4 linked regions of the Arabidopsis thaliana genome follow. The protein of the gene in region 1 interacts with the protein of each later gene in a biochemical or structural test. Each region holds a gene or a part of one and is shown on either strand. Other genes may lie near its edges. The genes, in order: TOC34, AKR2, PFA-DSP1 and OEP80.

The links.
Region 2: the proteins of TOC34 (region 1) and AKR2 form a complex in vitro, tested with the Arabidopsis thaliana proteins (one study listed by BioGRID).
Region 3: the proteins of TOC34 (region 1) and PFA-DSP1 form a complex in vitro, tested with the Arabidopsis thaliana proteins (one study listed by BioGRID).
Region 4: the proteins of TOC34 (region 1) and OEP80 form a complex in vitro, tested with the Arabidopsis thaliana proteins (one study listed by BioGRID).

What each region holds. Positions count from the first base shown.
Region 1 is NC_003076.8:1,473,500-1,478,267, forward strand, and holds TOC34 (translocon at the outer envelope membrane of chloroplasts 34), read right to left. Parts: upstream 2,936-4,768; 5' UTR 2,783-2,935; exon of another isoform or gene 2,290-2,782; 5' UTR 2,274-2,289; coding exon 2,172-2,273; intron 2,085-2,171; coding exon 1,977-2,084; intron 1,876-1,976; coding exon 1,751-1,875; intron 1,649-1,750; coding exon 1,384-1,648; intron 1,293-1,383; coding exon 1,224-1,292; intron 1,132-1,223; coding exon 970-1,131; intron 874-969; coding exon 763-873; 3' UTR 528-762; downstream 1-527. Other genes in the region: SUN1 (SAD1/UNC-84 domain protein 1), read right to left, coding at 1-271; AT5G05010 (clathrin adaptor complexes medium subunit family protein), read left to right, coding at 3,638-3,640, 3,770-3,809, 3,898-4,121, 4,272-4,514, 4,591-4,762. UniProt on the Arabidopsis thaliana protein: GTPase involved in protein precursor import into chloroplasts. Seems to recognize chloroplast-destined precursor proteins and regulate their presentation to the translocation channel through GTP hydrolysis.
Region 2 is NC_003075.7:16,837,606-16,842,488, forward strand, and holds AKR2 (ankyrin repeat-containing protein 2), read left to right. Parts: upstream 1-1,926; 5' UTR 1,927-2,141; exon of another isoform or gene 2,142-2,239; 5' UTR 2,240-2,256; coding exon 2,257-2,293; intron 2,294-2,322; exon of another isoform or gene 2,323-2,389; coding exon 2,390-2,523; intron 2,524-2,604; coding exon 2,605-2,817; intron 2,818-2,911; coding exon 2,912-3,060; intron 3,061-3,126; coding exon 3,127-3,313; intron 3,314-3,442; coding exon 3,443-3,535; intron 3,536-3,816; coding exon 3,817-3,956; intron 3,957-4,054; coding exon 4,055-4,154; 3' UTR 4,155-4,344; downstream 4,345-4,883. Other genes in the region: CLC-E (chloride channel E), read right to left, coding at 1-41, 211-674, 756-959, 1,053-1,740; NTRB (NADPH-dependent thioredoxin reductase B), read left to right, coding at 4,613-4,883. UniProt on the Arabidopsis thaliana protein: Exhibits chaperone activity toward chloroplast outer envelope membrane, mitochondrion outer membrane, endoplasmic reticulum membrane and peroxisomal proteins, by recruiting specific proteins containing a single transmembrane associated with an AKR2A-binding sequence (ABS) and subsequently binding glycolipids (e.g. monogalactosyldiacylglycerol (MGDG) and phosphatidylglycerol (PG)) present in the membrane of the target organelle.
Region 3 is NC_003070.9:1,423,807-1,429,412, reverse strand, and holds PFA-DSP1 (Phosphotyrosine protein phosphatases superfamily protein), read right to left. Parts: upstream 3,875-5,606; 5' UTR 3,754-3,874; coding exon 3,488-3,753; intron 3,398-3,487; coding exon 3,304-3,397; intron 3,179-3,303; coding exon 3,083-3,178; coding exon of another isoform or gene 3,014-3,082; exon of another isoform or gene 1,515-3,013; coding exon 1,457-1,514; intron 1,343-1,456; coding exon 1,299-1,342; intron 1,206-1,298; coding exon 1,020-1,205; 3' UTR 544-1,019; downstream 1-543. Other genes in the region: AT1G05005 (PPR containing protein), read right to left, coding at 152-365. UniProt on the Arabidopsis thaliana protein: Cleaves the beta-phosphate at the 5-position of soluble inositol pyrophosphates.
Region 4 is NC_003076.8:6,621,515-6,628,420, reverse strand, and holds OEP80 (outer envelope protein of 80 kDa), read right to left. Parts: upstream 5,225-6,906; 5' UTR 5,099-5,224; coding exon 4,391-5,098; intron 4,298-4,390; coding exon 4,204-4,297; intron 3,830-4,203; coding exon 3,747-3,829; intron 3,639-3,746; coding exon 3,541-3,638; intron 3,400-3,540; coding exon 3,330-3,399; intron 3,053-3,329; coding exon 2,959-3,052; intron 2,779-2,958; coding exon 2,697-2,778; intron 2,611-2,696; coding exon 2,575-2,610; intron 2,472-2,574; coding exon 2,318-2,471; intron 2,244-2,317; coding exon 2,103-2,243; intron 1,927-2,102; coding exon 1,856-1,926; intron 1,735-1,855; coding exon 1,656-1,734; intron 1,580-1,655; coding exon 1,464-1,579; intron 1,347-1,463; coding exon 1,199-1,346; intron 1,116-1,198; coding exon 1,046-1,115; intron 935-1,045; coding exon 780-934; 3' UTR 527-779; downstream 1-526. Other genes in the region: AT5G19630 (alpha/beta-Hydrolases superfamily protein), read left to right, coding at 1-274; GNL2 (GNOM-like 2), read left to right, coding at 6,376-6,861. UniProt on the Arabidopsis thaliana protein: Plays an essential role during early stages of plastid development.

The sequences.
Region 1 (4,768 bases):
TCCGGCGCTGCGTAGCGGTGGTATTAGTCCCCGTCGCAGCGGAAACAGACCTTCTCGTCACAGGACCCAAATCTTGTCCCTGAGATCGATCAAGGGTAGCTTCACCGCGGCTCAGATCTCTACTCGTACCACCGGCTTCCCCAACACCACCGTTCGCAAGCGATTCGCTTTGAGGGTAATCAAAGTTTGATTTTTTCTCTCCGGCAAGAATCGGCGTCCGTCTAGTCGCTGCCGCCGTATTAGCGGTGATCGACACCGTTGATGCCGACATTTGATCTGGTTTGACTACACAATCGCACCCCTCGGATAAAAAACAAATCTTTACACTAATGTCGAAATCAGAACCCTAAATTCACTAGAGAGAGTTGGAAAATTCGAAAACTTTGTTCGAAATTGAGGAAAGAGTAAACGATCTTCTCTGAACCGTCTTCTCCGTTTGCCAAATTCCTCCTTTAAACATCGGTTTTTTTTTTCTTTAACTCAAATTTTTATTTTATTTCAAAACTTGCATCGCGTCAAAAATAACTGCAGCGGTTACTTTTACCATTAATGACAAAATGGAATTATCTCTTCTAATCATTTTCACCAAGAGAGTAGCTCTTAATTACGATTTACGAGAGGCTAAAGAAGATGTAATTAAGATGAGAGAACTTTGCGACAGTAATTATCTGTGAACCACATTTCTCGAGTTGTATCACAATTTCAACTACAGAACAATCTCTCAGATAGACAAACAAACCAAACAAAACTCGTGTCCACAACTCAAGACCTTCGACTTGCTAAACCGGAGTCTCGCAGCTCCCACGCCGGTTTACTCTCTCTCGAAACATCGGACTTGATTGCTCGAACCAATGGCTTCATCACCAGCAAGTACTGCATTTTCAAACCATCAAAAGATGAATAAATGATGCATGATGTTTTGATCAAGCCTTATTCTGTATTGTTACTGAATGGTTCAGAGGGGCTTACTTGGAATGCAAACATTAAAGGAATCAGTTTTTTTCCTCTTTCGTTTGGGTTTGGCCCTTCGACCAGTTTCTTGTCAACATGAATCGCCTTGTTGCCATTAAAAGAGATCTCTGTGATTTTGTTGAACAGATTGGGAATCCAACTAGTCCCGCATGGAAGAATCTGTCACAAATTTGGAAAATCCGACTTCAAGATTGGTCCAACTACTACAAGACGCGAGAAAAAGAGAACGTGGACAAAACCAATCAACTGACCTTTTCATCGCTTTCGTTCTTATGGCATCTTCCGCTGTTCTCAACAAGAATGACAGGAATAGAAAAACCCTACAATAAAAGATCAGAGGTAAGTGAGTCTATTAACTTGACTACTATCAAGGTCGTTACAGACATTTATGTAAGGAGGAAAAAACTATACCTGCAAATCCTGTTTCTTCAGTTGAGCGCCTGTCTGGATAACTTTTAGAAGAGCATTAGATCTTTTGGAGACAAAGTGGTTATAATTTAACCCGTCTGGTGGAGAGAACTGAGCATGGGTGAGAACAAGAGCAGACTTCTTCCATATCTCTTTACCAAATGCATCAGTTATAGCACCGACAACTTGCCTATCAAGGTCATCCACCCGGTACACATCCAAACGGTCTACGTATAGTAGCACATCTATAGTCATGTTGAGGAGAAATCTGTTCAAATTCAACATCCACGAATCCAAATTAATACAAATGCCACAAATGAGCCCCAAATTAGGAGAGTAACTCCTTAGACCTGGAAACAGTTCATCATACCGTTTTATAATGTTGATGGCTTGATCATTCACATATCCTCCCTCAATAAGACCAGGAGTGTCGATGATATTCAATGTAAATCCCGATCTTGTGCGAGAGACCAAGGTAGGCCTCAGTCCTTCAGACTATAAAGAGGGAAAATCACACACTTTCTATGAGAAAAATTAAAAGAAAGATAGCCAATAGTCATAAAGACAAGCCATGAGAAGAGCATTAAACTTGGCACCTGGAAAGTACTAACTGCAGCAGCTTTCTCGCCTATAACTGAATTCACAGTTGATGACTTTCCAACACCACCTTTCCCCATTACAAGGACCGTTAGCGAGCTCACATCCTACACCAGTTTTTTTTCTTTCTTAAATCTCTCTAAGACAAGAAGAAACAAACAGAAAGCAGATGAAGCTAGAAACAAGAAAGGAACCTCTTCTTTATACTTCCCAAGGATCTCGAGCAATTTAGATTGAGTAGCAGGTGGGAACTGCTGGATACCGATCCATTCACGAAGCGTTTGCAAAGCTGCCATGGACACAAATCCTTACCTACACTTCCAAGGAAAGCAAAAAAGGATCACAAAAGAGAAGACTAAATCATCTGCTAAGAAACTAAACAATCAGAAGACCAAAGAACAAAAATGAGTAATCGCCCATAAAAGAAAAAGTTGTCTGATTCCACTATCTGAATCAATCCTATAACTTTCTAGCAATTAAAGTCTCAGAAAATTAAAAAGAAGATAACTTTTTTTTACTAAGAACAAAAACCCTTAAAATCCATCTTCATTTGCCGTTGTCTCCATTAGTTTCTTTTTTCCAGATCTTTAAATGAAAATAATCTCATTGCTTTAGAAACGAACATGGCGCAAGTGGGCATACCAAAAACTAATAACTTAAGCACTAAACTAATCAAGTATTGAGAGATAATCAGAATCCTAAATCCTGAACTGGGGTCAAATGCCAATTTATCAAATGAGCATACTTCTAAGTGGACGAAGTGAAAACCAGATAAAGAAAGAAAACGAGAGAGAGAGTAACCTACCTGAGCTAGAGTTACTAGTGGCGGATATTCGTCGCCGGATTCGCTGACCTCGTATCAAATTAAAACCCTAGAACTGAAATTGACTTTTGAAGATGATTGATTGCTACAAATCTCAATACATGAAAGTACATTCCTTTCAAAATTCAACCGGACTAAACCGAATGTCGTCGGTCTGCACCAATGACGAATTTGCCCTTTTGGCATTTTTTCTTCCATTTACTGGGTTGGAAAGCCCAATAAGGAACTGAAACGGCCCAGATTACTTGTCCTTGTTTTGTGGATCGTCTTTTCTCTAACACACACACCAGGATTTAATCTGAGACTCGTTTCATCTTTTTTACTCGGCGAGCTTGTGAAGAAGAAACTGGTGATTTCATCTCCTTCGATCACTCCCAAGGTATCGTCTTGTTCTCTCGCTCTTCGCCTTCACTGATGGTGATGATTTTCGTTTTCCTTTGAATGAATGTTCTCTCTGGCTACATTTCTGTGGATCTCCATTATTAAGAATTTTCTCCTCCTTCTAAATTTCGCGATCCTGTTTCATGAATTTGATCCGCTTGTGTTGATTTTGATTCTACAGTTATGTTTTTCGATTATGAGCCTCTGATGCTCGTAGATCCGCTGGATCTGCGATGAATTCTTTTTATATTTTCGATTCGCTAGTCTAGTTTCGTTTGGATTCGTGTATTCGAGATCTCTTCCTCTATTACGTGATTTATGATCCTGAAGATCAAATCCCGTTTGTTTCTTCTGATCTCGCTCTAACTGGATTTACTCTAACATTGGTTCTTTGTATTTCAGATTCGCATTACCTTTCTTATAATCGCCGAGATTGTTCGAGCCTGAATAATCAAAATGGTATTGACTTTTGTTCTATGATTGGTTTTTTTCTTTTTCCTTTTTAGTGCATCTTCGCAATTTGGTGTTAACTTTAGTGTTTGATGAGTGTCTGGCGCGTTTTCTAAAGTTGGAACCTGTGCTTTATAGGTTGTGCTTGCTGCTGCCATTGTGGTCAAGTCTGGGAAAGGTTATTTTCATCTATCTTTGACTTTGTCTTCGAATTCTCGTTTTTCAATATTTTTGCGTTTTTTCTAACTTTCTTCTTTTTTATGTAGTGATTGTTTCCAGACACTATGTGGATATGTCCCGTATCAGAATCGAAGGTCTACTTGCAGCTTTTCCTAAGCTGGTTGGAATGGGAAAGCAGCATACCTATATCGAGACGGAGAATGTGCGATATGTTTATCAGCCTATTGAAGCTCTGTTCCTGCTTCTTGTTACAACTAAGCAGAGTAACATTCTAGAAGACCTGGCCACCCTTACTTTGCTCTCCAAACTTGTATGCTTCTTTCTTTCTTTCTTTCTTTTTTTTTTACTTCTGCTACTTTATTTGAGGAGATTATTGCCTTGACTCTGGATGTGTACTGGTTCTTAGTTCTTTTGAAAAGTGAGTGTTCCAAGTGCTGTTTGATCATTTGATTGTTTCTAGGTACCTGAGTATTCCATGTCTTTAGATGAAGAAGGGATTTCCAGGGCATCTTTTGAGCTCATATTTGCATTTGATGAAGTCATATCTCTTGGGCACAAGGAAAGTGTGACAGTTGCCCAGGTGAAGCAGTATTGTGAAATGGAAAGTCATGAGGAGAAGTTGCATAAACTGGTTATGCAGAGCAAGATCAATGACACTAAGGACGTGATGAAGCGTAAGGCTAATGAGATTGACAAAAGCAAGGTACATGACAGGAGCGCACCCTGCTGTTGTATTCTATTTCTGTAACTCCTATTAATATTTCTTATGTAATTCCTAGATTGAAAAGAATAAGCCAGGAGGATTTTCGTCCATGGGTTCAATGGGATCTGGAAGACTTGAAAGTGGTTTCAATGAATTGAGCATATCCAGTGGTGGCGGCGGTGGTTATGGAAGTGGTTCTGGGTTTGGCATGATTTCAGATGTCGACCCTATCAATACCAAACCAAAAGGTTAGT
Region 2 (4,883 bases), on another chromosome or scaffold:
GGAACTTGACAAACCCCCGCAAGTGTAGCAGCCATTCCAACCTGTTAAACAATGAGACAAACAGGATCATTGGCAATGAAGCTACAAAAAAACTAGCATCCATTCTCAGTTAACCCGAAAAAATATTCTGTTCAAAGTATTGATAGGTAACCAATCAAGAAAGTCTGAAATTAAGACAATTTTGAAACATTGACCACATAAGAACAGTACCAGACCATAAGCTTGTGGAGATGCCACTTCCAAGATAGAGAGATTGAAATCAGGGTTCTGAGCCAAAGCAAGTCCAATAAACTTTCCATAGGCCATTCCTGCTGCCCCGCCAATAAAGAGAGAAGGAGCATAGTATCCACCGACAAGTCCAGAAGCCCGACACCATGCGGTTGCAGCTATCTTGACCGCTACCAGCTGAAGCAAAAGATCAGCTGAAAGACCCTTCACAAATGGACGTTTCTCCAACAAAATATCCACATTCTGAAAACCCCAGTATAATACTTCAGGGTATACCAAAGCTATGATACCAACACTTAATCCACCCATTACAGGAAATACAGCCTTTGGTATCCCAGCATCCTTGTTAAGACTGTCAACAGCAGATGTCATGGATGATGTACATCGAGATAATGCCAACGAGACCAAGCCACACAGAGCGCCCAATAAAAGATAGAGTGGAAGTTCTGAAAATCAGTGACCAGCTCTCATAAGTTTGGTTTCTGGTTCCCTTGCGTAAAAAGCATAAGAATGGCAATGCATATTACCTCCAGGAGAGCGGAAGTCATAGTCAGGAACCTTAAACGCAGGTTCAGAGCCGAGACCGATTTCGGAAACCACAGAAGCAGTAACAGCACTAAGAATAACCATAGAAGTTGTGTTTGGAAGTGAAGTTGATGAATCAGTTGATGAAGAAGGCCACAAAACGGATTCAACTGCAAAGAAGCATCCAGCCACAGCTGCATTGAACCCTGTAACAACATATAACAAAGTCCTCTTAACGAATCAATCAAGAGTTCCATACGCAAGAGAGAACAACATTAGCAAATATCAGATGAACAAACCAGAGGAAATGCCAGCAGCTGAGCCAGCGGCAAGAAGTGAGAAGCCAGTCTGAGGACTTTTATTGAACAGAGAATTCACACCTTTAGCGATTGACGCTCCAATTTCAACACTTGGACCTTCCGGCCCCAGCGAATTTCCAGTCCCAAGCGTCACACATGCGGCAACAGTCTTAAGGAAAGGACGCAACACTGCCTTTACGCGATCGAGACTAGAATGAGAATCTCCAGTAGATTTTCCAGCAGATTCTCGAAGCTGATTGAGGATGCTCACCACCAAACCGCCGATAGTCGGAACAAGGATAACACGCAACCAATTGGAACCGATCGGTGCCTCTCTAAGCCACGAAGCTCCACGATCAGGAATCCCATCCCAGGAAAAGTCTCGAAGCAAGTGAACACAGTTGTTGAATAGAACCACACTAACTCCAGTGAGAACACCAACCAAACAAGCCGACGCTATCGCAAGCTCCTGAGACGGCTGCTGATCAAATCCAACCTCATCCTGATCAGTCTCCTGCTTCGCCGCCGGTAAACGCGGGAAAATTCTACCGCCAATAGCGACGGAACCGAAAAACGGTGAAAGGACGACATTGAACTGAAAAGGAACGTCGGTTTTGTGAATTGGAGCGAATCTCCGGGAAGAGACGGGAGATCGGAGGGCAGCACAGAGTGGAAGCGTGGCTGCCATGAACGGCTGCTTCCGTGAAGTGACGCGTGTTTATCCATTAACGGATAATTTGATCTTAAATCACAAATCTTACGTGGCTGATCTTATTATTCAAACGCATGGGCTTGGGCCTTGAGGTAAACAGGTTTATATGGGCCAATAACAATAAATTTGATTAAAAATAAAAGGCCTCTTAGCTTTAGGTTCAAACTTCAATGGAGAAGCAGTGGCTGTTGTCCCTCGCAGTTGATCTTCTTCTCAATCCAAAATCCAGCTGATAAATAAATAATTTTTCTCTTGTCGTCATATTAAAAAAAAGAAAGATTATCTGTATTTCAAGTTTCATGAGCGTTTGCCACCACAACATTGTCTTTTCGGGTTAATTTCTTCTTCTTCTTCCTTTTCTTACTAAATTCTCTTAGGTAGTTGTCGATTCGATTTCTTTGTCTTCCTCTTCGCTTATTTTCGTTGAATCTCTTGTTTACACCTTTTCCTGAAAACAAAATTGTGTTTTTTGTAGGGTTTTAGTCATACTTAATGGCTTCCAATTCGGAGAAAAATCCTCTTCTTTCAGGTGATTATTTTCTTCTCAGTATACAATCTGATCTGCGATAATGAATCGTTTCTAGTCAGATTTGGTTATTGGTTCATTGTAATTTGTTTACTGTAGATGAGAAACCCAAATCGACGGAGGAGAATAAGAGTTCTAAGCCGGAATCAGCTTCTGGGAGTTCAACTTCATCAGCTATGCCTGGCTTGAATTTCAATGCTTTTGATTTCTCTAATATGGCTAGTATTCTCAACGTAAGTTACCTTTGCTGTTAGCACAATTGAAAAGTTATCTTCTTTGAGTTTTTTTTTAATTGATAATGGTTTTTTTTGTAGGATCCTAGCATCAGAGAAATGGCTGAGCAAATAGCTAAAGATCCTGCGTTTAACCAATTGGCTGAGCAGCTTCAGAGATCTATTCCTAACGCTGGCCAGGAAGGTGGTTTCCCTAACTTTGATCCTCAACAGTATGTCAATACAATGCAACAGGTTATGCATAACCCTGAGTTTAAGACAATGGCCGAGAAACTTGGTACCGCCTTAGTTCAGGTTAGGAATTGATGACTTTTTCCATCTAATCGAGGTGTGGCTTTGAATGAAGCTCTGTGTCTTATCTGATTTTATTTATTTTTTTTGCCTACAGGATCCACAAATGTCTCCTTTTTTGGATGCTTTCTCGAATCCTGAAACAGCAGAACACTTTACTGAGCGTATGGCGCGGATGAAAGAAGATCCAGAGTTGAAACCTATACTAGATGAGATTGATGCTGGTGGTCCTTCTGCCATGATGAAGTGAGTGATACAAACTTCTTTCAATGTTTTTTAGAGAAACTGTAGAGTTTGTTTCTGTTTATGAAGGAAGAATTATTTATTCTGTTTTAGGTACTGGAATGATCCAGAAGTGCTGAAAAAGCTGGGTGAAGCAATGGGTATGCCTGTTGCTGGCTTACCAGACCAGACTGTTTCAGCTGAACCTGAGGTAGCAGAAGAAGGTGAAGAAGAAGAGTCTATTGTTCACCAAACTGCCAGTCTTGGTGATGTTGAGGTTAGACTGCTTCCTACGTTAATATGCTTGACCATGTGAGATTTATCTTGCGTGTTGCTTGAGGAATTAGATGTTCCAAGTTTTGTTTTGTTGAACTCGTTATTGGATTTTTATTCGTTGATTCATTAGGGTTTGAAAGCTGCCTTGGCATCTGGTGGTAACAAAGATGAAGAAGATTCTGAAGGAAGGACAGCATTGCATTTTGCTTGTGGATACGGCGAGGTATGCAATTCTCTTATCAATTCACGGCAATTAAATATTCGGATTTAGATGGTTCTCTTTTTTTCAGTAGCTGTGAAGTTAAGAATCTTTATAATCATTCAATTGGTAGAAAAGTAACCAGTCTACTTACGTCTACGAGTTTCATGACACAATTACTTATAGCAAGTTCAAATATTTGGTGAAAGAGCAATGAGATGGAACTGGCGATTACTTGCATACTAAAGATTTTGCTTATGAATATGGATTGAACTGAGTTTAACCCTGTTGAGCCCTATCAACAGTTGAAATGTGCTCAAGTTCTTATCGATGCTGGAGCAAGTGTTAATGCGGTTGACAAAAACAAGAACACACCTCTGCATTATGCTGCTGGTTACGGGAGGAAAGAGTGTGTAAGCCTTCTCCTGGAGAATGGTGCTGCAGTGTAAGTCTCACAACACAGTACTTATAATGAAACAACTCCATTAAACACTGTTTCAGGACTTTAATTATATGTGCTTTGGTTGATGTGTGTGGTTGCAGCACTCTGCAAAACCTAGACGAGAAGACGCCAATTGATGTAGCGAAGCTCAACAGCCAGCTGGAGGTGGTGAAGCTGCTTGAGAAGGATGCTTTCCTTTGAGCTCTGCTGGTTAAAGGAAAGCTCTAAGCTCATATTGTCTTTGAGGCATTTGTCTTGTGTGTGTCCTGAACCAGTTTCACAGGCTTTTTGTGTACACTTTTTATTAGTTCCTCTCTTCTTCTAAATTTGTCTCTTATGTTGTTTTAAAAGTCAATAAAGAAAGAAATAGCAATCAATGATTTAATTTATGATTATATTCTTTATTTCGTCGACCTCTACAGAATGATTCAATTTGGAAGAATCATTCTGGTTTGGAGGATATGTAAGAAAAACTACTTGATCTCCAAGTTATTCCATTCTTCTGTTACTGTATTGCCCAAATTCCCAAGCTTGACAATATTTACGCAAAGCTCAAAACCCAAAATATTTGAGAATCAAAACAAAATCAAGGGTCTTGTCTTTTTTTTTTTTTTTGGTGTGAATCAAAGGTCTTGTCTTTGCAAGTAAATTCGTTCCTAATGAACTGTGTGAGTCGTTTAAAGTGTTTGATAAGCAAAGCACGAAGCTTTGCACGGCTTGGTGGTGAATCCACTCTCTCTCAACCGCCGTCTCTCGCCTCCGCCGCGTTTTCTTCATCCGCCGTCATGAATGGTCTCGAAACTCACAACACAAGGCTCTGTATCGTAGGAAGTGGCCCAGCGGCACACACGGCGGCGATTTACGCAGCTAGGGCTGAACTTAAACCTCTTCTCTTCGAAGGATGGATGGCTAACGACATCGCTCCCGGTG
Region 3 (5,606 bases), on another chromosome or scaffold:
CTGCATAATCTTTCTGAAACAGAGTACACACCTTTTCTTTACCCATATATCTTGATGCCTAATAATACCACAACCAAGAGCACATAATATGTAAGAAACCACAAATTGGTACATAGGTTGAAGATCAGGATTTAGAAGAAATAAAAAAAACTCGCGTTTTTGAGAAAATCGATCCGAATCTCGAAGATTCTTATGAGCCCTCTGGTGTACAATTGTTTCTCATGTTGCTGCAAAGACGCTTTGACCCGAATAAGCAGAGTTTGGCTAGCCTCGGGTGACCATAAGGTTGCATAGGAACGGAACAAAGAACTCTTGTAGCCGCAAGCAAGAATGCGCTTTGCATGTTGTTGAAGAATCGGTGTCATGCTTTTTATTAAAGTAAATGATTAACAACACTCCAGTAGAGTGTTTCGTATTCGTGACCTATAAGGACAACTATCACTCACTTATAGCTAAAAATTGGTACTGGCCTTAGTTAGGTTTCATATTCGTGACTTAACAAACTCTTCACACATCTAGCATGTCTTTTTCAACTAATAAAAATAATGATTAATTCCGTAACTGATTCAAAAAAGAAGTTATAGAGTTATGTTAATGATTGGTCAGTAAATCAAATTAGTCCATATATTTCGGTTTAGCATTACATTGAACAAATTATTTACACACTGATGGTAGTAGCATTTTCCTCTACACACGATAATAACAAATCATGTTCTGAAGAATTGAAATATATGAGCTAATAATCGTTAAGCAACATTCGGGATAACCCAAGAAAATACATATATTCCTAAACAAACTCCTGTATAGTTTACTTTATATATATACGTAATTATCTACCTTTATGCTTACACTGAGCAGTAAAAAAACAGAGTGAAGTCATTATAACAACGAAAACCTTTTCTTTTCTCGAAATAGTATTATTGATTCCAGAGAAAGGTAAAGAAAGAGAAGAATGTTTCCTCTGGAACTCTAATATGATTAATCTCTCCTTTTTATCTGAAGATTTTAGCTTCCCCTGTTTACCTGATGGAACAAGAGAATGACATTGGAATATGACTGAAGCTGGAAACATCGAATATCTCCATGAATCTTTGATCTGAAACTCTAGCTTTCGCTGCTGCAAATCGTTGGTACTCGTCGAATATCGATGTCAAACACCATTTCTGGAGCTTCCTCAAGCAACCAACAAGACAACCGGTCCGATGCTGCAAATTCCAGATTCATACTTAGAAACTCATTTTCTTCTTCAGTGGTGGAGACAAAAGATGAAATGTTTAGGATTGGAGTGAATGATTTACCTTGCCTCGCTTACAATGAATCAGAACAGGATGGTTTTTCTCATCTGAGGATTTTAAAAGGAGAGTTGTTAATAAACCAAGTTAGAATTAGAAAGCATACAAAAAGTGTGGTTACATGTGTTCTTTTATTTCAGCGCTTCTATATGATTCATAGTTACCTAGAAGCACTTTCAGTGCCATGCGGATTTTATGGTCTGGAATATTCACAAATGGCTCCTGAAAATAAGAAGAAAAAATGTCTTTTTAAAATTGTAAGATTATATGTCAAAAGATCAATCACACTACTAAATTGAGCAGATTAGGAAAAGATAAAGCAATCTAATAATCAAGGTTCATGCACAAGCAACGTCGAGAGAGACAACCATGCAAAGGTTCATTAACAGGACAAAGTCTACAAGTTATGAAGCATGTCTAATGTGATACCTTTTACTGGTTGCGTACTGAGAGAAAGATTCTTTACTTTTTTATATCAAAAAGTTATCTCCACACACAACAACAACAACACGGAATAAACACAAAGTCCCATTGAAAGACGAATCTATGAGAAGAAAAAAGCATAGCAAGCCAAGAATATCAGCGATAAAGGTTTCCTATCAAGATCGAAGTTGTCACACTAATTATAAAGAATCTGAGTCCAGAAACAAAAACAAAAGTCAATGAGATCCAGATTCTTCCAATAAAATCACTACACCAAGAAGAGAAAGCCACTTTATTTTCATCTTTAGTGTAAAAGCAAAACTAGGGAACTATGGTAGTAAGTATCTAAACGACTCCCCACATAAAGAATCGACTATCCTAGGAGTAGAATCGACAGGGAAAAGGTGGATTCTGTGGGGGGAGAGAATGATAGCTACTGCATACCAGAACAAACATATTTTCTTTCAAACATATCAACTCAAATTAGATTCATACCCATCTCTTCAGGAAAGGCGAATGGTAACTCATGAGGGTAATAAGTTCAAGACTCTATGGTGAAGTTTTTGGTTATTCTATCACTTTACCAACGATTTGCCCAAACATGAGCCACTAACACATAGAAAAGGAAAGGAACTAAAGGTACGTATTAAACAACATTAACCGACTTACAACGTAACCATCTATCATTTTCCCAGCAATTCCTAACCTTATCTAGATTTCAAACCTTACAGCTAATATGGACACTTTCACGATCAACACGCTTTCTACAAGTTTTTACCATAAAAAACGGTTTACTTGTACACAATCAAAAACACTTTCGCTGATGTATGATTTCATAAGATATCATATCTGTATAAAAAAGTGCACACTCAATAAACATGAACCAAGAAAACAATAACAACAGAAAGTAAGCTATTGAGTAGTGGGATCATTGACAACACTAGCAACAAGTAGCTCAGCAAATATTTTGACGTAGTCCATAATCTAATTTTATAAATAGAGAGTAGAAAGAACAAGTGGGGAATAGTTGCTGAAGGGGCAGAAAAACAAAGAGTGGGACCAAATCAGTGGAGGTCAAGAGAGACGGAAAGAGCCAAAGAGGCAAAACAATAAAGAAAGATGTGTTCTTTTTCTGGTAAACTCATAATAATAAAATATGGCTTGGAACAGAGTGCCCATGAAGGATCAAATTCAAGAGAAAGAAAACACAGAAACAGTTTTAGTAGTCTAAAGTAAACAACAATGAGACAGGATTTTCAAGAACAATTAGGCAATAAATATCAAGCAAATAAAACCCTTCAAATTGAATGAACTATGATATATTCCAGAAATAGTATCGTGTTCCAGTTAATATATGTAGTGTGTACCAAAGTTTTCGAAAGTCCATTAGTTAAGGGACCCTGTTTCTGATGCTTAGAATTCCATAAATGCAAGGAAATCTCGTTGTCTAAGTCAGGAACACACTGCAGCAAGATATGATTTTTCCATTCAGAGAATTCTCCTAGTGAACTATCCAAGTAAGGTTTAGAATTACAGAGCAATTAAAAACGGAGACTTGATGAAGAGAGAGGAGAAGAAAGATGGTTACCTTGTTGCCTTCAATACCAAACTGGAAAAGCCTGATTCCATTGGATTTAAGGAACTGGAGATTGCTCTCTGGGTAGGGCTCCGGGCACAAGTATCTTCACAAATTCGAAAAAACCTAAAATCAGCAATTTCGAAAGTTTGATATATAGTATACAAAATGTCATGAATGTGGAAGGAGCTTTTACATGATTGAGCGGAGACCGAGAGTCTGGAGAAAGGAGAAGTTAGCTGAATCAGGGAATCCAGACCGGAATATACCGTTATCGACCATGGAGAAGTTGAGCGGCGGAATTAGGTGAAGTTCTTCGCCGGAGACAACTCGAAAGGGATCAGCTTCACCGCCCGGAGCCTGAAACACGTTTCTGTTAACCTCGGAAACCTCGATGATGGTGCGGCAGAAATCTTCTCCATTGTCCTGCTCTGTAGTAGTCGTCTTCTCCACAAGCTTCATCTCTGAATTGGGAAACAGAGAAAAGGTTGAATCTTTAGGTGAGGAGAGTCGAGTAATGGAGATGGTCGTTACGTAGCGTCGACCTTGGGGAGGTTTATATGGAGAGAGACTTGTGACTCTGTTCAAAATTCAACAGACGAAAAAGAACGCAAAGGAGATGGACCCAGCAAGGACTCCTTTTTTATTTTTATTTTTTGTTTGTCAATAGCTGTTTATTTGTTTATTTTTAAAGAATTTGTGACATTTATCTTAAAAGCTTTTTTGTTTATAATCTGTTAAGTGTTTTTACTTTTTAGATACCTTTTAGCATATGTGAAAATAGTTGATTGGATCTACAATTTCATACTGAAATCCGTAATCTGTAAAAAAAAAAAGCTTAGAAAAAAATAAGTTGCCACTACACAAAAGAATCCAATATTAGAATAAACAGTTTAATATTTTATATTTACTCAAGTTGAGCTGAAAACAGCAACATACGGAAACTATATAATAATTAACAATACACGAATTTTGTAACGGTCTATCTTAGTTGTACATGCTACTACCATTTTTATCAACGGTTGATAATAACAATAATAATAGTATGATGGTCTAATTTGAGGAAATAACTGTTATAACATTTTCAAGGATTATTAAAGTAAACAAAATAAAATGACTTTGCAGTTTTGCAAAACAAACGAAAAAAATGATATTACATAAATTGTTCTTGTTAATAGGAAAGCACTTGTTGAAGCTTAAATTGGCATCATTGTGGAATCTTTTTGCTCACACACAATCATCTTATTCGGGTAAATCACTCTCATTGAATAAATTATCAACCGAACCTAAAATCATTTTTTGACTATATATTTTCACCAATATTATAATATTTAATATTTTGAATTTGAAGTTTCTGACCTATATTTACCTTGAAAAAGTCACTTATTCACAATATACAAAAATATTGACTACTACATACTAACATACATATATATCATCATTCCAGGAAATAGCGAAAATATAGATTCCAAGCGAAACACAGAGAAATAAAAAGAGAGAGAGAGATTCCAAAGGACAAAGAGCAATTACTCTGCTAAGTGGGAAGAACAATCACTAATCTGAGTCATCTGGCATTCATAAACGCACCTTTATTTAAGTTCTATGGGATCGTAATCTGAGTACATTAATTACTTCTATGTTCCTTTCACATTTTGTTTTGTTAAACAATTTCATAATATTGTTTTGAAATGTATAATTTTAGCCAATATTCGGTTTTAATATTTGTTACTGCCTTTTTTTTTTTTTTTTCCACCAATTTGTTACTGCCTTGAAATAACTATTTAATTGTGTGAAAATAAAATTCGGTCCAAACTATCTACTGTAGTTGCCATTTCTGTCATACATGATACTACATAATAACACGGACGCCGTGTTTTACCTTTTTTTTGGGGTCAAATTTCGTATAAAGAAAAATGGAGACGAATGTTTTTCTTCGGTGCATAATCGCACCATTTAAATATATGTCTATTACATAATCAAAACGAAATAATGCAAAAAGAACCACATCACGACAATACATTATTAGAATCCACGTCACATATTTGTCTTCCACATAACACTCACACCAGAAAACTACTCTTTTCTAATTAAAAAAAAACAGATGATAACTAAGCTAAAGACATAAAATTTGTAATGTTTAGTGTCCCACACTGGACTTTAATTGGATAAATTACTCCATAAAAACAAAATGCACCAGATAGTTTTTTTATAAGAAAAACAAAAAAGGTACATTCCAGGGAATATACCTTATGATTCTCAAGGATTATTGCGCCGCGAGCACTCGGCCACGTACGAAAGCGTTTTGGATGCCGTTA
Region 4 (6,906 bases), 5.1 Mb from region 1:
ATATGTGAGTTTGGGATACCCATTTGGCCTAATGGCCTCGATTCTCTTTGGGCGACACCACAAGGCCATTCTCTCATCCCCTAAACCCAAACTCTTCGTAATGGGAACACAAGACGGGTTCACTAGCGTTAGCCAGCTAAAGAAGAAGCTGAAATCTGCAGTCGGACGCACTGAAACACACCTCATTGAAGGCGTTAGTCATTTCCAGATGGAAGGACCTGAATATGATTCTCAGGTGACCGATATTATATGTAAATTTATTTCATCCCTGTAAAATACCACATGAAAAGATAGACCTTAGGGGATTATTACATCCTCGTCGAACTACGTTGGTGTATGTCCGGAAATTACTTGGATAAATCTTTACTAGCACGATAGGAGTTTGATGTCCCTGTACACTACGCACTAAAAGACTTGTTTTCATATGTTGAGTTATTATCACTCTATCGGACATTTCTTCAAGCTTTGCAATTGCATCGAGAAGAGTTTGCTCACGATCATGTGACATCCTAAGGAGACAAATCAGGTTCATACTAGGATGAAGAATAAAAATCCTAATCTTGGTTCTATTAATAATTTTAACTGGGAGTTTGGTAAAATGAAAATCATCTACATGAAAAGCATTCATACGCGACATCTCTCTCCATGCACAAACCACTCACAAAACAGTGAGTTACATAAGATGATATAAATTATCAAAATAGACAAGCATCATCTAGATGAATGTGCGACAAAGGCCGACAAAACACTTATCGAATCTAAAAAAGAAACAGGAAAATTTAGTTCCGCAGACCAACCCCAAAGTGAAACCTTCCCGCATGTTGATCGTTGAAGGCATATTCAAGGCGTAGCGGCCCCAACGGGGAATCAACACGCACCCCTAAACCATATCCATAACCGCTTCCGGGCTTCAGTCTTGCCCCCGCAGGATCACCTAAAGGGCAGAAAATAACAAAGATGAAGGTTCCCTGAGATTCTAAAGCTATTACAAGCATATATGGAAAGGCTCAGAAGGAGAAAAAAAAAACGAAAGCCTAGTCTGTACCTGGGACGGTGGATCCTGATCCCATATCAGTGCCATAATCTGTAAAAATGACGCCTTCGACCGGTCCTCTCTGCACAATAGGGTAAGAATGAGAGTCATGATTTTTACACCATTGTGAAATGAGATCTTAGGAATGTTCAAAGAAAAACCCACCACTGGGAAAGACAGCTCCCCTGAACCAACTACATATGACCGACCAGATCCTACAGCGCCCTCTTCGTAACCTCTTACGCTGTTTGTTCCACCGATGACGAATGCTTCATGAGGTGAAAATTTTCCCACCACATGTCCACCAGACAGACTATAAACATGAACAAGGTAAGATACACTATATAAAACTTTAGAAATGATGATTCGAATCCCAAAAGGTAAATAGAGACCTCAAGAAAATTATATGCCTCAAAGGAAGTTAGCATACCTAAAAAGGAAACGAGCTGGTCCAATGTGTATGCCTTTCCTGGCACGTCCAGTCACTCGATTGAAACATAACCATTCGGGCAAAACAGGAAGCCCTTGTTCCATGTTAAACGCAAACTGGTATAAAAATACAGATAGAATTAGGCACTGAAAAAAGAAGGGGAAGATGTACCAACAGAGGTATCAGACTGACCATCGTTGATCCTTGGTCACCTGAGCCAGTATAAATGCTTTCAAGTTTTGCTAGCATGGTCTCATCATGGGGCTTACCACTGCATGAGAAAACATTAATAATGGCATCTATCAAATTCATATGGCCAAATACAGCATTGGTGAAAACAGTGAGCAGAACCAAAGACAAATCATTCTTTGGGAATTGGGACATATATATACCTTGCAGTTAGAGGGCTACTGTAGAAGTCCTTAATGATAGGGTTTCCTTGTTCATCACGAGCACCAGCATGCTGAAACATGAAATTCAAAACGAAATTAAGGGTAACGTATATATTGGTCAAAAAGTAAAAAATTTACCAGTTTGGATCTAGTCAGAAACGACAAGAACATATATTTTAATTGCTTTAACACCAATATTACTCTGGATTGGTACAGAAACTTAGAAAATATTGGGAACAGTAGAGACCTGAAATATAAGTCCAGCAGTACCATTCCACTTTGGCCTGAATGGACGACTGTATTCAACACCTGCTGTAACCCGACCAATTGTGAGACTACTATTGTCTGGTTGATTGCCGTGAACAAGATTCCCCGGTGTTCTTGAATTCTAACTCAAGATGAAGTTCATTAGTTTATTAGTCATCTCAGCAATCTCATTGAGATAACCAGTAAAGGTGTTACCTGAACCATAATAGATCTGGACGTCCTCTTGTCATCTCCTTCAATCCATGGATCAGTGTAGTTTATACGAAATATAGAGTCAATTTGACCCCTCTCTAAGGAAACATTAAGCTTCTGGTTTCTTCCAAACAGATTGCGGTGGGAATAAGCGAAGCTGCATAAAATGATTACTTCAACTACATCAGTAATGTAATACACACAGCCTAGGCCAGAAATAAAAAAAAAATCATTACAAATAAAATATACATTACTTTTACCTTCCAATTAATCCTGATAGGGGGCCACTTGTGATCCTACAAAAGAATTGGACAAAAGTTGTCATCAAGCTACAAAAGAAAAAAATTGAATCGCTGTAAGTAGCAAACAAACTAAAACTTACCCACTAGATATCCCACCACCAGCAGAGAAGCCTCCACTGGGACGCTCGACACAGTTCATGATCAAATCAACCTTCCCACTATCTAACAGGAATAAAAAACAAGGAAAAGAAGAAAGTTTCAGAATCAGACACTGTCAAAACCTTTTGTTACTGTGCCTAAGGATAAGCAAGGAAAATACTTTCTTCACTCATACTACTGCACCTTAAGCACAAGATGAAAATTAAAAGTATTAGCTGAAAAGAAAGAAATATATTTACACACCTCCTGCAGGTTGAGGAATAATACTAACATCTTCCATGATTCCCATGGCTAGCACAGTGTCTACATCCCTCTTCCCTTGAAGCATGCTGTAGACCTAAATTGACCAAAAGCCAGATTAGACAAGATGTGTATGTAGAGGCCCTACTTAGACGCTCATGCATAAAGACTTTAAGGCCAAATTTTACGAAGAAACATACATGATACCATAAAGAGTGATTAACCTTAATTAAAAATAAGATCTCCAAAGGATTTCATACACAGATGATGCACTCAGAAGTGTTATTTAGCATAAAAATACAGCTCAGATAGTTTATGATGTTTTAGTCAGCGACTTATCTTTACATCTAAGCTGAGAAATGCCCAAAAAATACCTGTCCCTTCTTTGTTGTAAGTTGCCGTAGTATTGTCTCAGGGCTAGTCTTCCCTTTAGTTGGTTCCCCACTAAATATAGAAGGCACCATTATCAATGAAATCGTAATCTAATAGTTGAAATAAAAGGAAGCTACCAGTGCCATCCAGAATTGCCTACAATTTAAACCAATATAAACTACATTCATAAGGGAGGGATTGGCACCAGCTTACGTCTTACGATCAAGGAATCGGATGGATATGTTGTTAACCTCTGCTTCAGCAACCTGAAGCCTTACTATACCTCCAGAAAGCGTATCAATATCTGAAACCTACAATGGCAGACAACAGAATGATGATTCTAACCACAAAGTATAAGACTGAATCCAGGATGATTTTTTTTTTTGAAAAAGTAATTATGGTGTAAAAAGAGCACTTACAATTCCGAAAAGACCACGCTCCATGTACCATCCATTGATGGATGTAATAGCTTCTTCCAGTCTCTTAATATTAATCACTTTCCCTACACAGCTTGACACCAACATTTACTAACCATTACCCTCTCCAATCAAACACACACCGAACAGAAGGAATCCACCTAACTAGCCTCAATACATTAATATGTGTAAACTAAATGCAACTTCAAATTATGCTCTGTTTTGGAGCATGGATACATTTTGAGAATACTACCTACCTCTAATCTATCTTCTTCATTCAAGGCTAACACATTTTACACCATGTGTTAGAAAATTCTTAGCTTCATCATTAGTACTCGAAATATTTGTCAGGTTCCAATATCATTAATCCATTTTACTCCCAACGTAAATCAATGAATTGACAGATAAGTCTAGTACAGTACAGAAGAAAAAAAAACAAGCTAAATTGGAGGATACGTACCAAACCCATCTCGGAAAGCTTCATGTATGAACTTGGAAGGAAGAACATTTGCATTTTCACAGACTAACCCACGAAATTCTTGGTTTGGTTCTACCTTATGGCAAGAAAATGAGAATTATTTGCATCCCAGAAACATAAAAACGAGACCTTTCTCCTCCAACAAAAAGAGTAACAATCAAAATATTACCTGAAACATCAACCGAATCCCGTCTCGTGTATCAACAGCAACAGGAGTACAAGAGCAAAAGTACCCACTTTCTATAATCCTATGTACATCCTCCTGTACCTCACGAATAGTCAACGCTGAATTAGCTCTACAAGCTTTCAAAGCAGCCAATGCCTCCATTTCCAAATCCTTCCTCTCAAGTTCCTCACCATCTTTCGTTCTTACTAAAACCTCACTAATCAGAACTCGTTCCTCCGCATTTCGACTCACCGAGTGACCCTTCTGCTGCTGTACTGTATCCTTCCCTTCCACTGACTGAGTCGACTCGTTAGGTCTAGTTAGAGACAAAGAGGCACAACAGAGCAGAGGCGAGCTTAGTCCACGGATTGTCTCAACGTTCTCATCTCTTGATTCAGACCAATTGAATTGGGTGGATTGGATAAGAGACAATGAAATTGGAGAAGACTTCCCAATCATAAGCTGGGTTACTGAATTGAGCATCTGAGTCGGTAAATTGGGACGACGAACCGAACGTGGAGGAGGAGTGTGGCGATTCTTTAGCGACTGGAGCATTTGGTTTAGTGAGTTACGAGTATTTGAGAGGTGAGAGACGAAGGTTTTAGAGCAGGATTGGAGATTGGTGAGTAAAGAGTGTTGTTCTTTGGGAGATGGAGAATGGATTCTGATAGAAGATGAAGAGAAGCGAACATCATCGTTGTGACAATGCATTGTTAATCGTACTCGGGAGTGAAATTGAGGAAATGTCAAGGAAGAAGAAGAGCTTAAGAGATAAAATCTAAGAACAAAAAATAAGAGCTAGGGTTTTTTTTGATTCGGAGACTCGGAGTAGAAGATGATAGAGTGAAAAGGAGGTGATGTTAAAGCCCATTTACGAACAAACAAAAAACAAATTATTTTTTTGAATGTTTTATGTAAACATTCCTTTGAGTATATTATTAGGTTTTGTAAAATTACTGGATTTTCAAAAATGAAAATAAAATTGCGTCAAATAAATATTTTGGAAAATAATCAATTTCTCATTAAGGGGATTTCTCATTTATTTGACGGTAAATTAGTTTTTTGTAGGGTAAATTAGTTAACTAACGTTCAAAACATGTTAATCAAAATAAATAAATAGATTTTTGAGAAAAAAACGTTAGTTGATTTCTCCTATCCATTTTCTTGATTTTATTGATTAATAGATCACACACATGAACAAACAAGGATTATTGAATAGTTTTTCTGTGAATTTTTTTAGTAGTTATGGTCACAAACATGTAACAAAACCAATTATATTAATTTTGTCAATTTTAGACTTGTTAATTATAGAGAGTTTTGGCTCTTCTTAAGCAAGCCATAAACCCTTAAAACATTCATCTTATTAGGACCAGTACATAAATAAGTTATGGTCTGAATTTTAGTAAAATTTAAGCTGAGAGATATATTCTCTTGGAAACACTAGGACCAGTACATAAATAGAGTTATGGTCTGAATTTGGTAAAATTTAAGCTCCATTAACCTCTTAAGCGTCAGTTTTTCTCTACTGGTTAATTGAATAGTAGAGGAAAAAAACTTCAGCTATGCAAAGTCTGACTCAGATCAGTATGAAGAGGCCTAATCCTACAAAAATGGTTTCCACTCCAATCATCGTAGAGTTTGCTTCTACTTTAAAAGAAGAAGAAAAAAAAACCTTGAACACATACGTTTGATCCAAATAATGTATCCTTAAATCTGAATTTTTGCAGAACGTACATTAGTTTTCTATCTTAAGCCTTAAAGAAATTGACGGTAGCTGATGATGGAGTTTTCCTAGATGTGTGATGACAAATGGTTGAAACTCACCCATCACTGAGTCTCAGCCACTAAAACTTATATACTAAATATAGGATCAAACCAAGGCAAGGCAACACCGTACACATAAAGAATAAAAACGAAGAACAACAAAAAAAACAGTTGCTGAATGATTTTTCTTCTTTATCGGCAAGAAGAGTGTGATAAGGTGAGAAATGGATCGTATCGCCGTAAGAGCAAAGCGGAAAGAGCTAGGGATATCATGCATGCTTAACACGGAGGTTGGTGCAGTCCTTGCCGTCATTCGTAGACCCCTTTCAGAAAGTTACCTTTCTCCCCAAGAAACAGACCACTGTGATTCATCAGTCCAACAATCTCTCAAATCTCTTAGAGCTCTTATTTTCAATCCTCAACAAGATTGGCGCACCATAGATCCTTCGGTTTATCTTTCTCCTTTCCTCGAAGTTATTCAAAGCGATGAGATTCCGGCTAGCGCCACAGCTGTCGCTCTTTCCTCCATCTTAAAGATCCTTAAAATCGAGATCTTCGATGAGAAAACACCTGGTGCAAAAGATGCTATGAATTCTATTGTCTCCGGGATTACTAGTTGTCGTTTGGAGAAAACAGATTTGGTGTCTGAAGATGCTGTAATGATGAGGATTCTTCAAGTTTTAACCGGAATCATGAAACATCCATCCTCTGTACGTTCATTAACTATAATCTTTTTACTACAAATGTTTATTTTG